Caenorhabditis elegans: one gene and its partner. Each later gene encodes a partner of the first gene's protein in a complex. Each region holds a gene or a part of one and is shown in the gene's direction. Other genes may lie near its edges.

What was found.
Region 2: the proteins of tmie-1 (region 1) and tmc-2 are in contact, whole or in part, in a cryo-EM structure (PDB 8TKP), measured with the Caenorhabditis elegans proteins. Residues at the interface, in NP_001379030.1 of Caenorhabditis elegans: Arg23 (codon at 2,061), Trp25 (codon at 2,067), Met26 (codon at 2,070), Cys43 (codon at 2,474), Ile48 (codon at 2,489), Arg49 (codon at 2,492), Ile50 (codon at 2,495), Pro51 (codon at 2,498), Arg52 (codon at 2,501), Thr53 (codon at 2,504), Lys54 (codon at 2,507), Ile57 (codon at 2,516), Ala61 (codon at 2,528); in NP_001335510.1 of Caenorhabditis elegans: His176 (codon at 2,857), Ala239 (codon at 3,330), Asp242 (codon at 3,339), Glu243 (codon at 3,342), Leu244 (codon at 3,345), Val247 (codon at 3,354), Glu336 (codon at 3,787), Phe623 (codon at 4,938), Gly626 (codon at 4,947), Leu627 (codon at 4,950), Arg630 (codon at 4,959), Glu641 (codon at 4,992), Arg642 (codon at 4,995), Tyr647 (codon at 5,393), Trp693 (codon at 5,579), Ala695 (codon at 5,585), Met696 (codon at 5,588), Thr697 (codon at 5,591), Cys698 (codon at 5,594), Asn699 (codon at 5,597), Val700 (codon at 5,600), Pro701 (codon at 5,603).

The regions. Positions count from the first base shown.
Region 1 is NC_003281.10:10,854,833-10,858,788, forward strand, and holds tmie-1 (Transmembrane inner ear), read left to right. Parts: upstream 1-1,943; 5' UTR 1,944-1,994; coding exon 1,995-2,109; intron 2,110-2,462; coding exon 2,463-2,585; intron 2,586-3,154; coding exon 3,155-3,270; 3' UTR 3,271-3,354; downstream 3,355-3,956. Other genes in the region: oxi-1 (Ubiquitin-protein ligase E3B), read left to right, coding at 3,481-3,626.
Region 2 is NC_003284.9:9,301,862-9,309,903, forward strand, and holds the start of tmc-2 (Transmembrane channel-like protein 2), read left to right. Parts: upstream 1-1,862; 5' UTR 1,863-1,920; coding exon 1,921-2,061; intron 2,062-2,363; coding exon 2,364-2,446; intron 2,447-2,505; coding exon 2,506-2,646; intron 2,647-2,696; coding exon 2,697-2,961; intron 2,962-3,245; coding exon 3,246-3,368; intron 3,369-3,420; coding exon 3,421-3,566; intron 3,567-3,632; coding exon 3,633-3,730; intron 3,731-3,778; coding exon 3,779-3,993; intron 3,994-4,037; coding exon 4,038-4,153; intron 4,154-4,207; coding exon 4,208-4,345; intron 4,346-4,492; coding exon 4,493-4,762; intron 4,763-4,807; coding exon 4,808-5,003; intron 5,004-5,386; coding exon 5,387-5,444; intron 5,445-5,492; coding exon 5,493-5,742; intron 5,743-5,889; coding exon 5,890-6,015; intron 6,016-6,062; coding exon 6,063-6,141; intron 6,142-6,236; coding exon 6,237-6,676; intron 6,677-6,798; coding exon 6,799-6,903; intron 6,904-6,955; coding exon 6,956-7,072; intron 7,073-7,147; and 8 more. UniProt on the Caenorhabditis elegans protein: Probable ion channel.

The DNA.
Region 1 (3,956 bases):
GTTTTGGGAAATTTTTGGGATATTTTTTTTGGATTTTTGTGGGGAGAATAGCTGTTTCGCTAGGATTTTTTCTGGATTTTTTCTAGATTTTTTAACTGAAAATTCGCATTTTCGAAAAAGAAATTATTTAGAATTGGATGTTTTTTCCAAAATTATAGTAAACAGAAAACTAACTAATAATTTAAAAAACGCATTAAAATCGGCAAATTGCCGGAATTGAAAGATTCCGGCAAACCGGCAATTTGCCGAATTTGCCGGAAATTTTCGGCAAATTGTGTTTTGCACATTTTTTTTTGGAAAAAAAGCACAGTTTTAAGTGTTTCCGTCTTATAACAATCCCTCTAAAAATTCCGGCAAATTGATGTTCGGCAAACGGCAACTTGCCGAAATTGAAAATTTCCTGCAAGTTAGCAAACCGGCAATTTTCCGAAAATTAAAATTTCCGACAAATCGGCAATTTGTCAGAATTGAAAATTTCCGGCAAATTGGTAACTTGTCAGAATTTAAAGTTTCCGGCAAACCGACGAATTGCCGGAATTGAAAGTTTCCGGCAAATTGCAATTTGCCGATAATTCAAATTTCCGCCAAATCGGCAATTTGCAAGAATTGAAAAATTTCCGGCAAATCGGCAATTTTCCGAAAATTAAATTTTCCGGTAAACCGGCAATTTGCCAGAATTGAAAATTTCCGGCAAATCGGTAATTTGCCGAATTGCCGTCCATCCCTAACTCCACCTTTAATTTAAATAAAATGGAGCAACAGGAGCTGCGGGCTCTTTGTCTCTCTCTCATTTCCGGTGTGTACCTCTCCTGCTTCTCCCAAAGTCGAGCAGTGAGTGAGAGATGGAGAGATATCAGAGAAGCAGAGAATGTCTCAGTTGTATTGGTGTCCACAGCAGAAGCTCCAGGCTTCTTCTCCCCGGCAGTTCTTCGTCCCATTATATCCCACCACCACCGCTCTGCTCCCTTCTCTTCCCTCTCTTCTTCTTGTTCCCTATGGGAAATCTCGAACTTTTAACACAAAATTTATATATTTTCTCGTGTTTGTTCCTGTTTCATACTTTAAAATGAATAAATTTAAGTTTTTGAAATTTTGGAAAAAATTGAAAAATTGTGGATTTTTTAGATTAAAAAAAAAGTTTTTTCAAATTTTTTTAAACTGAAAAATTTGAATATTAGTGGATTGGATTTTGCAAAATAAAAATCAAACTTTTCGAATTTAAATGAAAAATTGTGTATTGTTTTCGGAAAAAAAACAAAAAAGTTTCTTTTTTATTTGGAATTTACTGAAATAAATTGAAAAAAAAACAATTTTTCAGAGAAATTCGAAAAAATTTAAAAATTCAATTTTTTTTTGTTGAAAAATTGCGAATTTTTTTTAAAAAAAAGCGAAAAAAAGTGAAAATAGGACGTTTTTTCATTTGGAATTTACTGAAGAAATTGAAAAAAAAAAATTTTCAGAGAAATTCGAAAACGTTTGAAATTTGGTTTTTATTTTGTTGGAAAAATTTCGATTTTTCTGAAAAAAAAAACAATTTTTTCGAAAATTTTGAAAAAATTTATCGATAAAAAATATTGAAAAATGGTGAAGCAAAAATGTGTAGACTAGTGGATTTCTAATCATTTTTAGAGTTTTTTTGCTGAAAAATTGAGAAGATTAAATCATTATTTCCTAAAATTGCTTGAAAATCCAAAAAGTTTTTGCTTGAAAATCCAAAAAAAATTTTTAGGGTAAAAATTCAAAAAAAAATTGAAAAAATCAAGAAATTACATTTTTAAAAAACAGTTTTGAATTAAAAATTCCCCTAAATTTTTAATATTTTTCACTTAAAAAATCCTTTCCAATTTCCGGCAAATTTCCAAGTCTTAAAAAAGTCGTAAAACCTGCTCCGCCTCAATTCACAATTTTCACTTCAATTTCCGTGGCGACTTCCGATTCTTCAGATTCTTTTCTCACATTTTCTTCATTTTTCGGTGAAGACGAAAAACTAGGTAATGCCGTCTGGAAATGAAGAAATCAATCATTTATCGGCACTTGATCAATTTGTGGCTCCCGGCTTACGATTATGGATGCTCATTGCACTTGTTGGAGGAGTTTTGCTCATTATGAGTGAGTTTTGAGTCATGTTTCGAGTTCCACGGGAGTAGGGTGTGCGTGGTGACTCCAAAACTTGAAGTTTCTAGTTCTACGGGAGTTGGGTTTCCATGGTGACTTCAAAAACTTCAAGTTTTCACTTCTACGGGAGTAGGATTCCACCGAGAGACATCCTGGTGACTCCCGTTGAAACTTCGAGTTTTCGGTTCCAAGGAATTGACCATTCCCTGAAGTTGCAGTGACTCAGTTAAGGAAAATCCTCTTCCGTAGACACAGAAACGTGGAATTTCTCTCCCCAGTCACCACAACATCCGAGGAAACCCACAGTTCCGTAGACCCAAAAACCCCAATTTTTTTCCATTTTCCAGTTGTCATCGTGTGCTGCTTCATGAGAATCCGAATTCCACGTACAAAACGACAAATCGATCTGATTGCTGCGAAACGAAAATTGAGAAAAAGCACCAAAAATTCGGCAGAAGCCAATGCTCACAGTGAGTTTTTTTTGAGCTTAAAAGCGAGGTTGTCACTGAAAATTCGAATTCCCGCCGCCGCCCCAGTCACTACAAATCCGGTGGAAATTAATGTTCTGCAGATTCCAACTCTGTGAAAGAAGGAGGAGTTTTTAGTTTCCGCGATTTCGGTTCTGCGGAATAACACTTCCCCCCGAACCGTGGTGTCTCCAGGCGGGAATTCAAATTTTTCAGTGAAATTATCGATTTTTCAAGCAATTTTCAGTAGAAACTGCAAATTTCTAAAAATTTTCCTCTCAAATTCTGAGTATAACGCTCCGCCCACTTTCCCGTGAATTCGGATCTGCGGAATAAGATTTCCCTTTGAACCGTGGTGTCAACCGGCGGTAATATGAAATTTTTGGTGAAATTTTGGTGAAAAATCTCAAATAATCCAAAGACTAAATTTTATTATATCCCGCTCGTATTCCCGTAGATTTGGTTCTACGAAATTGATCATTCCGTGGTGTCTCCCGGCGGGAACTCAAATTTTTGGGGTGAAATTTTTTGAATTTTCTCAATTTTTCGCCAAAAATCATGTTTTTTTCCAGACGACGAACGTGCTCAGGCAATCGTGATGAACTCAATGCCTTCTGGAGGTGGTGGAGGTGCTCCGAGCACAAGCAGCTCACGTCATACTGGCTCACGTATTCAATCTCAAGTTTAAATTGATGAAATTGATGATTTAAACCTTTTTTTTGGATCTTTTTGTAAATAAATTGAATTTTTAATATGAAAACATTTGCTTTTTTGCCGTATTTTTTATTATTATTACTTCGGTAAAATTTTCCGATTTTCTAATACTCGATAGACAATTTTGCAACGTGGTTAGATGCGGGTTTTTTTAGTATGAAATTACGAAGATAATCAATCAATAATGGATAATATTCTACGAACTCTTCAAAAGAATGCGAGAGAGCGTGAAGAGGAGGAGACGCAGAGACGACGAATCGAATTGGCTCACAAGTTGGAGCCATATTTAATAGGATATTTGACACGGAAAAAATTTCACGGGAAGATTAAGTTAGTATATATTGGTGGTTTTTTTTTTGCGGCAAAAAATCGAAATTTTAAAACTAAAAATTATGGCAAAAATTGAAAAAAAAAGAAGCAATAAATTTCGCGACTCAAAAAAAAAGTCAGAAAATGTGATTTTTTTAAATTAAAATTAAACTGTTAGAGGCTACATTTTTGAAAAACATTCATCTGCTGATTAAATATAATTGCTAAAAAAAACGAAGTTTTGAATATGTTAACGATTTTTCGTCAACCGGCAAGGGAATTTCAAAATTTCAAAAATCGATAATAATTTTTGGCCGATTTTTCTCTATTCGACAACTGTAATTTTGGAAA
Region 2 (8,042 bases), on another chromosome or scaffold:
AGCATTCTGAAACGAGGATTGAACGTACGGATTGCTATAACAAGTTTGATCAAGAGCAGAGACTCTATATCTCCTGCTTATCTCTCGACAATGGTGTCCGTCCACCGGCAGAATGAGAAGAAGCATTTGTCGGGGAAGAGGATGTAACTAGCGTTGGTTCGGTGGGGGGAGATATTGCTTTGAGAGGAGAAAACGAAGGTTGACAAGAAGAGTTGAGCCTGAAGATAAAGAAGAACACCACATTTTTGTTTGATTGTCACATCCGACCGGACTACTACTTTTTTGCGTAATTTTTAGATTGTATGATTTTCTCTAATTTCACCTCTATCGAATTGCACCTGACCTTTCCGACACTTGAGAGATATGTTGTTCTTATTTTCTCTTTGAAAGTCCAAAAAGTTCGAGAGATCGCATTTCACACCATGTCCCTCAAGAAATGTTTCTATTATTCTTATCCCAAAAATTTGAAACATGAAGGAGTTTTTTATATTTTAAAACATATTTTGTATATTGTTTTTAGTTAGATTAAAAAAACATATGTTGTTGCTGCAACAGTTAGAAGTTTAAGTATTTATTCTCTGTTTCATCTTTAAAACAGATACAAATTGTTACAATTTTTACGGGTCCTTCTATGTGTATTAAATAATTGTTTCCAAAAACAAACAACATTGAGGGAAATTAAGATGTAAAAAAATAAAATAGTGGAATTGTCAAATACCATATTAAGACACCTTGCCATGTTGACACTTGATATTAAGAAATATTCAACAAATTCTCCTTTTTAAGTACTATATAATTCATTATGTGTGTACTAATTAAGTCAGGAAATTTAGAAAATACTTTTATACTTGTAAAATTATGAAAAACATGAAAATATGGTGTAAACCGTTTTTTTTAAATTCAAACCTCTTCACTTTTTACGTCTTCATTTCTCGACATTTAAAATCTCTGTTTTAACTCAAAAATTCACTTAGGATTCGAACTAATTGTTAAAAAAGAAAACATTAAAAACTAAATGGAACAACGAAGATCTTTATGACACTGATACTCAAATTTTACATCCCCTCTTAAGTTTACGACCCCTCTCCTCCTTTCCACTGCTCATTTCCTCCGCAAATGTTTTCCTAGCGATGTTCGTTTTTTTTTTTCAATTCAGACGTGCTCAATTGCGAACTTCTTACTCGCGAATTAGATCGGCAATCTGATGAGTATGTTTTGCTCTGTAGATTGGCCTCGAAAAAGAAACCGCATCAACAAGAGATTGAGACAGACGGTGGCTTGTGTTATTTGCCATCGACATCAAAATCAAACGTGAGGTGGTTGCAAACTCATCTCCAATTTGCTCTTTTCTCATCAATTGTTATCAATATCCTTCCCAGACCCGTCGTCTTTTTTCTCCTTGGCCGACGACGAGTCAAAGGCAAAAAATGTGTCTTTGCTCTGTGTTTCTTGCGTGTCTTCTGTCACAGACTACTCTTCTGTGTGCTTCTTTTCGGTCTCCAACCCGCAAAAATTTCATTCATTACATCGCTTGTTGCATTTCGAGCACCTCCCGCTGGCCGCGCTCACTATCACTTGTTTCATATCACAATTTTTACATAATGTGGCTCACACCAGACACATGGCCCGCGTCATCCACCACCATCAGATAACCGCTCTTTTCCATCTTGTTAAGTTTCTCAGACGCGCAAAAAATGACTTCACTCCGTCAATTGTCTCCGTGTTCTCTCTTAAACGTTTGCTTTTTTCTAATCATATCGCAATCGCCATTACTCACAAACCACTTCCGATCCGCAATCTTCCCGTTGTCTTTCTATGAGAGATTTAGTGCTAAAAATAAATAATATTATTGATCATCTAAGAAGCTGTCAACTGGACGCATCGAGCAGTGGACGCCGGCGTGCAGTCATCTAAAGCACGATGCCGAAATCAGGCGCTCATCAGCCTCTGGTTCGACATGACACTGATGATGGTGGGGAAACAGGACAGTCCGTTAAGTCTCTAGCGGATGTTTCTGAAGAGGAAATTGATAGTCGAATGAGTAGAAGATCGTCAGTTATTGTACGTTTTCAAACTCGCTTTGTAAATTCTTGACAATTATGCAGTATTTTATAAATAAAAATTATTTAAAAAATGAATTACAATTTCGTAAAAACTAGAAGTGAAATAAACGTTTAGTTTTCATTTGTTAAGACAAAAACGTATGCTCTTGAAATTCACAGAAACAATCAAGGTGTATAAAAACTATCAATTCAAAAATTATATAGTATTGCTCTGAAGTTGTGAAAGAGTAAAAATGTTTCCAAGTCCAGATTATAACAGCTAACACTTGTTTCATATATTTAAATTAATTTGATTTTCAGGCTGATCTGCTTTCTCTTTTTCGCCGTTCCTCCAGTGTTCTTGTTCGACCACATACACGATTAGGAAATCCCAATTTTGACGAGTGAGTTTTCCAAAAAATTTATTCACTTTCCAGCATTTTGTTCAATTTTCACATTACAGTGACGATGACGAATTCGACGAAGAAGACGACAAAGAAGCTTCGAAAGATAGGATACTCAAGAAAATTCAACAAAAGAAAGAAATTATACAAAAATTACGTGGCCAGCCGTGGTATATGAAAAGAAAACGGCGGACGTTGAAGTAAGACCGCTATGAACATTTGAGCGAAACGTCAAAATCGGAAATTTCAGAGTAGCACAAAAACATCTACAACAGCAAGAAGCAAAAGTCTCGAAAGCAAGATTATACAAAGCAGAGGCTGGTCGAAGATTGACACAAGCCAGTCGATGGTTGGATAATCTCAAAATTTATTTGATACCCTGGGAAGCAAAGATTCGAAAAATTGAAAGCCACTTTGGATCAGTTGTGTCGTCATATTTTACATTTCATCGATGGGTTCTCGGAGTTAACATCACAATCACATTTATTATGTGTATGTTCGTAGTTATACCTGAGGTGAGCTTCTACAAGCTTATAAAAACTTCAACGCTTCAAAAATAGGGCCTCCAATTTTGAACTAAAGAAAAGTTTGATGTACAATAAATGCGGGAATTGTTCGCCCGGAAAAATTTGACGTCAGCACGCTTTTAATCATGCTAAATCAGTAAAGGAATTCGCGTCTAGAAGCGTCTAAATTCCAGCAGTTTTTGATGATCAAGCCAAAATAGAACATTCTGACGTGCACGAGATTTTTTAATGATGATATGTCTTGGTTTTACACCTCAGATTATAATTTTCAGTGGCTCGCCGACTCTCGAACTCAATTCGGTGATGACAGATACAATAAGACAAAGGCCATCAAAGTAATGCCACCAGCTGTTCGTGCTCGTGCCGACGAGCTATCCACAGTCTGGGACTTTGGGGTGAGTTGTAATGATAACAGATAAAACCAATGTTCAATGGTTTTTTTTTCAGGGCTACTTTCAATACTCTTTATTATTTTACGGTTTTTACTCGAAAGAAACGTTTTTCGGAGAAACAATCAAATATCGTGTTCCAGTGGCTTATTTTTTCTGCAACATTTTTATTCTAGGATTTTCACTTTTCATCATCTTGAGGAAGTGAGTTTGAAAAAAAAAAGAAAATCAGATAGAACAGAAAAAAAAACAAACTCGTCCTAATTAAAGAATGGCGGCTAACAATCGTCGTGGGACCTTATCATCAGGAAAAACGCAACAGTATTTATTCAATTGGAAAGCTTTCACAGGCTGGGATTATACTATAGGTGAGCGTTCAGTTTTTTCGAGATTAATTTTATATTCTGAAAATTTAGGTAATCCTGAAACTGCTGGAAATGTCTATATGGCAAACGTTATAAAATTTCGTGAAGCAATAAACGATGATAAACAAAAGCCAAGTGACAAACATCCCTGGATTCGGTTTGTAGCACGTGTTCTTACAAATCTTTTCATTTGCGCAATGTATGTGTTCTCAATATGGGCCATTATGCAATGCGGAACTTTGAAAGGAGAACACTTTTTTGCGCAGGTTAGTAGTTCTTAGATGCTCAATAACACTATTAACTTATTCAGAATGCCACTGCTATAACCATTTCTCTCATTACATTAGTTTTCCCGAATATTTTTGATCTGCTGGGTAAAATTGAAAAGCTACACCCGAGAAATGCATTGAGGTTCCAACTTGGAAGGTATGTTTCAAAAAAATTTGAGCTTATGGAATTTGAGTAGAGGAATTTTTTCAGAGTGCTTGTTCTATACATTCTGAATTACTACACTCTGATTTATTCATTGATGTTGCAATTGGAGCATTTGCAGAAAGAGAAAAATGCCTCTGATAATCCAATTTCTGCACTTGGCCATCCAGGAGATGCAATAGGAAGGTTCGTGAGGTTACGCTTTTAATTAAACGGTTTCAAATAATTTATTGTAGTATGATAAGAATGGTTTGACTATTCTTTTTTTTTAAATAAAAAAACAGGAAACCGACGCTGCATACCTACAAAAGTCACTGATATAATTTATTCCAGAACAATACGTGAGACAGTGTTGCCTCGATATCCGGTAGACAACAATCCCCATACATACTACTCCTACGCCCCAGTTACAACAACTCCCATCCCTGCAACCAGTTCGTGGACAACTGTGCTTCCCGACTTTGGACCATTTGGAGTGTATAACCCGAAAGCATCAGTCACTAAGGACGATACAGTTTTCTCTTCTCCAGTTGTAGAAACGCACATGTTTGGACCAAACTCAGACTGGAATGAGACAACTGTGAATGCAGCAAGCCCAACGGGGTAATATAATTATTTGTTTTCTAATTGTAGGCATAACTTTTACAGAGCCACAACACGTGCATCACTCCGTATGTCTCAAGGAGGTCTTTGTTGGGAAACAATCATTGGCCAAGAAATAACAAAACTTGTGACAATGGACTTGTACATGACAGTCGCTTCAATTTTTCTGATTGATTTTCTTCGTGGTTTGGCATGTCGATATTTGAATTTATATTGGCCATGGGATTTGGAGAGAACATTTGTGAGTTTTTAAATTAATTTAGTCTGTATTGATTTGCTGTGTTTAAAGGGGCTCAAGACCATACCAAGTTTGGTGTTTCTGAAGTGTTAAGGACTTTTGGGCGATAAATAACTTAAAATATGGATTTTATTCTCTTTGCACATTGAAAATTGCTGTGACATTGGCAAATAGGTAAAATTTCAAATTTTAAATAATTTTATTTTAACTTATCATTTCTTAGGCCGTCATAACTTTTTTGAGAATTTTTCAATAAGTTTCATTATGAAATAGGGTGTTATTAGACAATTTTGATTCTAATAAAGCAATAAAAATAATTCGACTACACCATCTTTAACCACTGCTCACATACTTTTATTCAACATTTTATACATTTAAAATTTCAGCCTGAGTACGGAGAATTCAAAGTTGCTGAAAATGTGCTTCACTTGGTAAATAATCAAGGTAGGACAGATCAAACATTGTCTGCAAATATGCTGTTGCGTTTTTAAGGAATGATATGGCTCGGGCTCTTCTTTGTTCCACTTCTCCCAATGCTGAATAACATAAAATTGATTATCTTGATGTACATTCGAGGATGGGCTGCAATGACGTGCAATGTTCCGGCCAGTCAAATCTTTCGTGCCAGTCGTTCGTCCAACTTTTTCTTTGCACTACTAATACTGTTCCTATTCCTCTGTACACTTCCAGTCGGATTTGTTATAGCTTCAAAAACTCCGAGTAAAAGTTGTGGTCCATTTGGGTAAGAGTTTGATAAATTAAAACTTCAAATAAGTTTAATAAAAATTCAATATTTTTACATCTGTATTTTAAAGTACATCCTTAATATAAAGAAAATTGGGCTTAGCGTATATTTTTGAAGGTTCCCAATCACATATACGAATTTCAGAAATCAATCATTCTTCTACAGTGTCATTACTGATGTTCTTCATGAAAACTTAGACAAAACCCTTGTTAATGGTATCAAGTACAGTTTGTCTCCAGGAATCATTATTCCAGTTTTAGTACTGTTGTCGTAAGTTTTAAAACATTTGTAAATTTTTAAGTAGCTAAAAATTCCAGACTGGTTATATATTTCCTCATTGCAATGGTTACCGGATTATCACAAGCTAATCAAGACCTGTCATTTCAACTTATGGTGGTATGATTTTTAAAATTGTTTTATCAAAATTTAGTCCTATTCGAAATTTGACTGTCAAATGTAATGCAATGAAACATCACACTGAACATTTCCAGGAACGGACAGAAGAGAAGAAAAAAATCTTTGAGCTTGCCGGGGGAAAGAAGAAAAAGAGCAAAGACAACACATTTGGAAAACAAAAACCAAAACAATTACTACCCCCACCAACAAAAGGAGTTTCTTCTGATGATGATTCCCAGCACAATAGATCAACTGCTAAAAGTGTATCAGGTCGCCAATTTGTACCTTCATTAGGATCAGTATCAGAAGTTGATCACAGCACCGGTGAAGAACAATCTTCTGATAGTGAATCAACAACATCGTCGCTTCCGCCAAAGTTATCTCTTCGTCAGAGGTTTTTAGTATGCATTGGCTGGGCTGATCCAAATAAATATGGGCGACATGATGATATTGAAATGGAAGAAGGTGGTGGAAGGCTTCGAGAATTATCAACTGGTTCCGAAACAGATTCAGATGATGAGGATAGCGAAAAGAGGTAGTTTTTTTTATTCATATTTGCTTTTTTTCCGGGCCATTTTTTTAAAAGTAGTTTTCTTAGAAAAAATTTGTACTCGGATTTAAGTGTCACGTAGTTCCTCTAAAAGTTAATATTTTCAGAAACTCCGAAAGCAGATATCTTCTGCCACCCGACGGTTCTCGTCCAGCATCTAGAGAACGATCAGAAAATCCAAGTAAACGAAGCTCACAAAGTAGAAGAACAAGGCAAGCATCAATTATCACAGCAATCACTATTTACAAAATAATTATTTTTCAGTAATCGTGACATGTCCTACCGTACAGCTATCCAATCATTCGATCAAAACTCACAATCCGCATCAGCGTCTTCATCAAAATCTACTACTACTGCACCGTCCAATTCTGAAATGAGAATGTAAGTTTGATTGAAGGAAGACGTTTGGTTTGAATATTGTGAGAAGTTTTCGAAACGAGCACTTTTAATTTGCAGTGAGATCACAGAAAATCCACTTCACACTTACATCACACCTTTGCGAATTGAGAAAAAGTTTGTTATTGGTTTTATAACTGCTCTTATCACCTATGTTATACATTTTAGGAGCTCTGCTAGTTCATCAAGTAGCTCGCATCAGCCATCATCTTCAATTGAGAAACAAGCTGCAAGGAGGCTTCTGCAGCCAATTAGTACAACACACAATATTCGATATGGGTAAGGAATAACAATAACTTTTGGAAACCTGTTTTCACGACTTGATATTTTCAAATATACATTTCTCATTCAGTGCCTGAAATTAGCATTTAAAAAATATTATATCACTTTCTGAGCTACAGTATTATCACTACGAGCTTCACTTTGTTCGTTCATTGTTTTGTTCTGGATTTTTTTACTGATCGTATTTTTATTTCAAATGGTTGGCAGTACGTGATCAGAGACACGAAACAGGAAAATACATCACGTTTTGTGAAAAAAGACCTTTCAGATTCGATATTAGGTTTTTGACCGGCAAAAATACTTTGGTAGCTTAAGATAATCATTATAAATATTTTCAGAGTTGCTACGGTAGAAAACTCTTCCCAAGATCCAACTCGTCCTCCATCAACAGACGATTCACTTGGCGATCCTGCACTTCATGAACCACTATGGGCAAATCTGAATCCTCACAGCAGGTAGAAATGAAAAACTATATTGAAACTTTATCAATTTACCATGATTTCAGCTACACCTCTGCAATGATGTCTCCAATTATGAATGAGGTTATGTCAAATGATGAGACAACTGATGACGAGAAAGGGCGTTTGATTCCTGATAGGTAGGAAATCAGCAATACATTTTCTAATTAAACATATCGTTACATACCTTTTGCAATGTGTTAAATTAACAACTT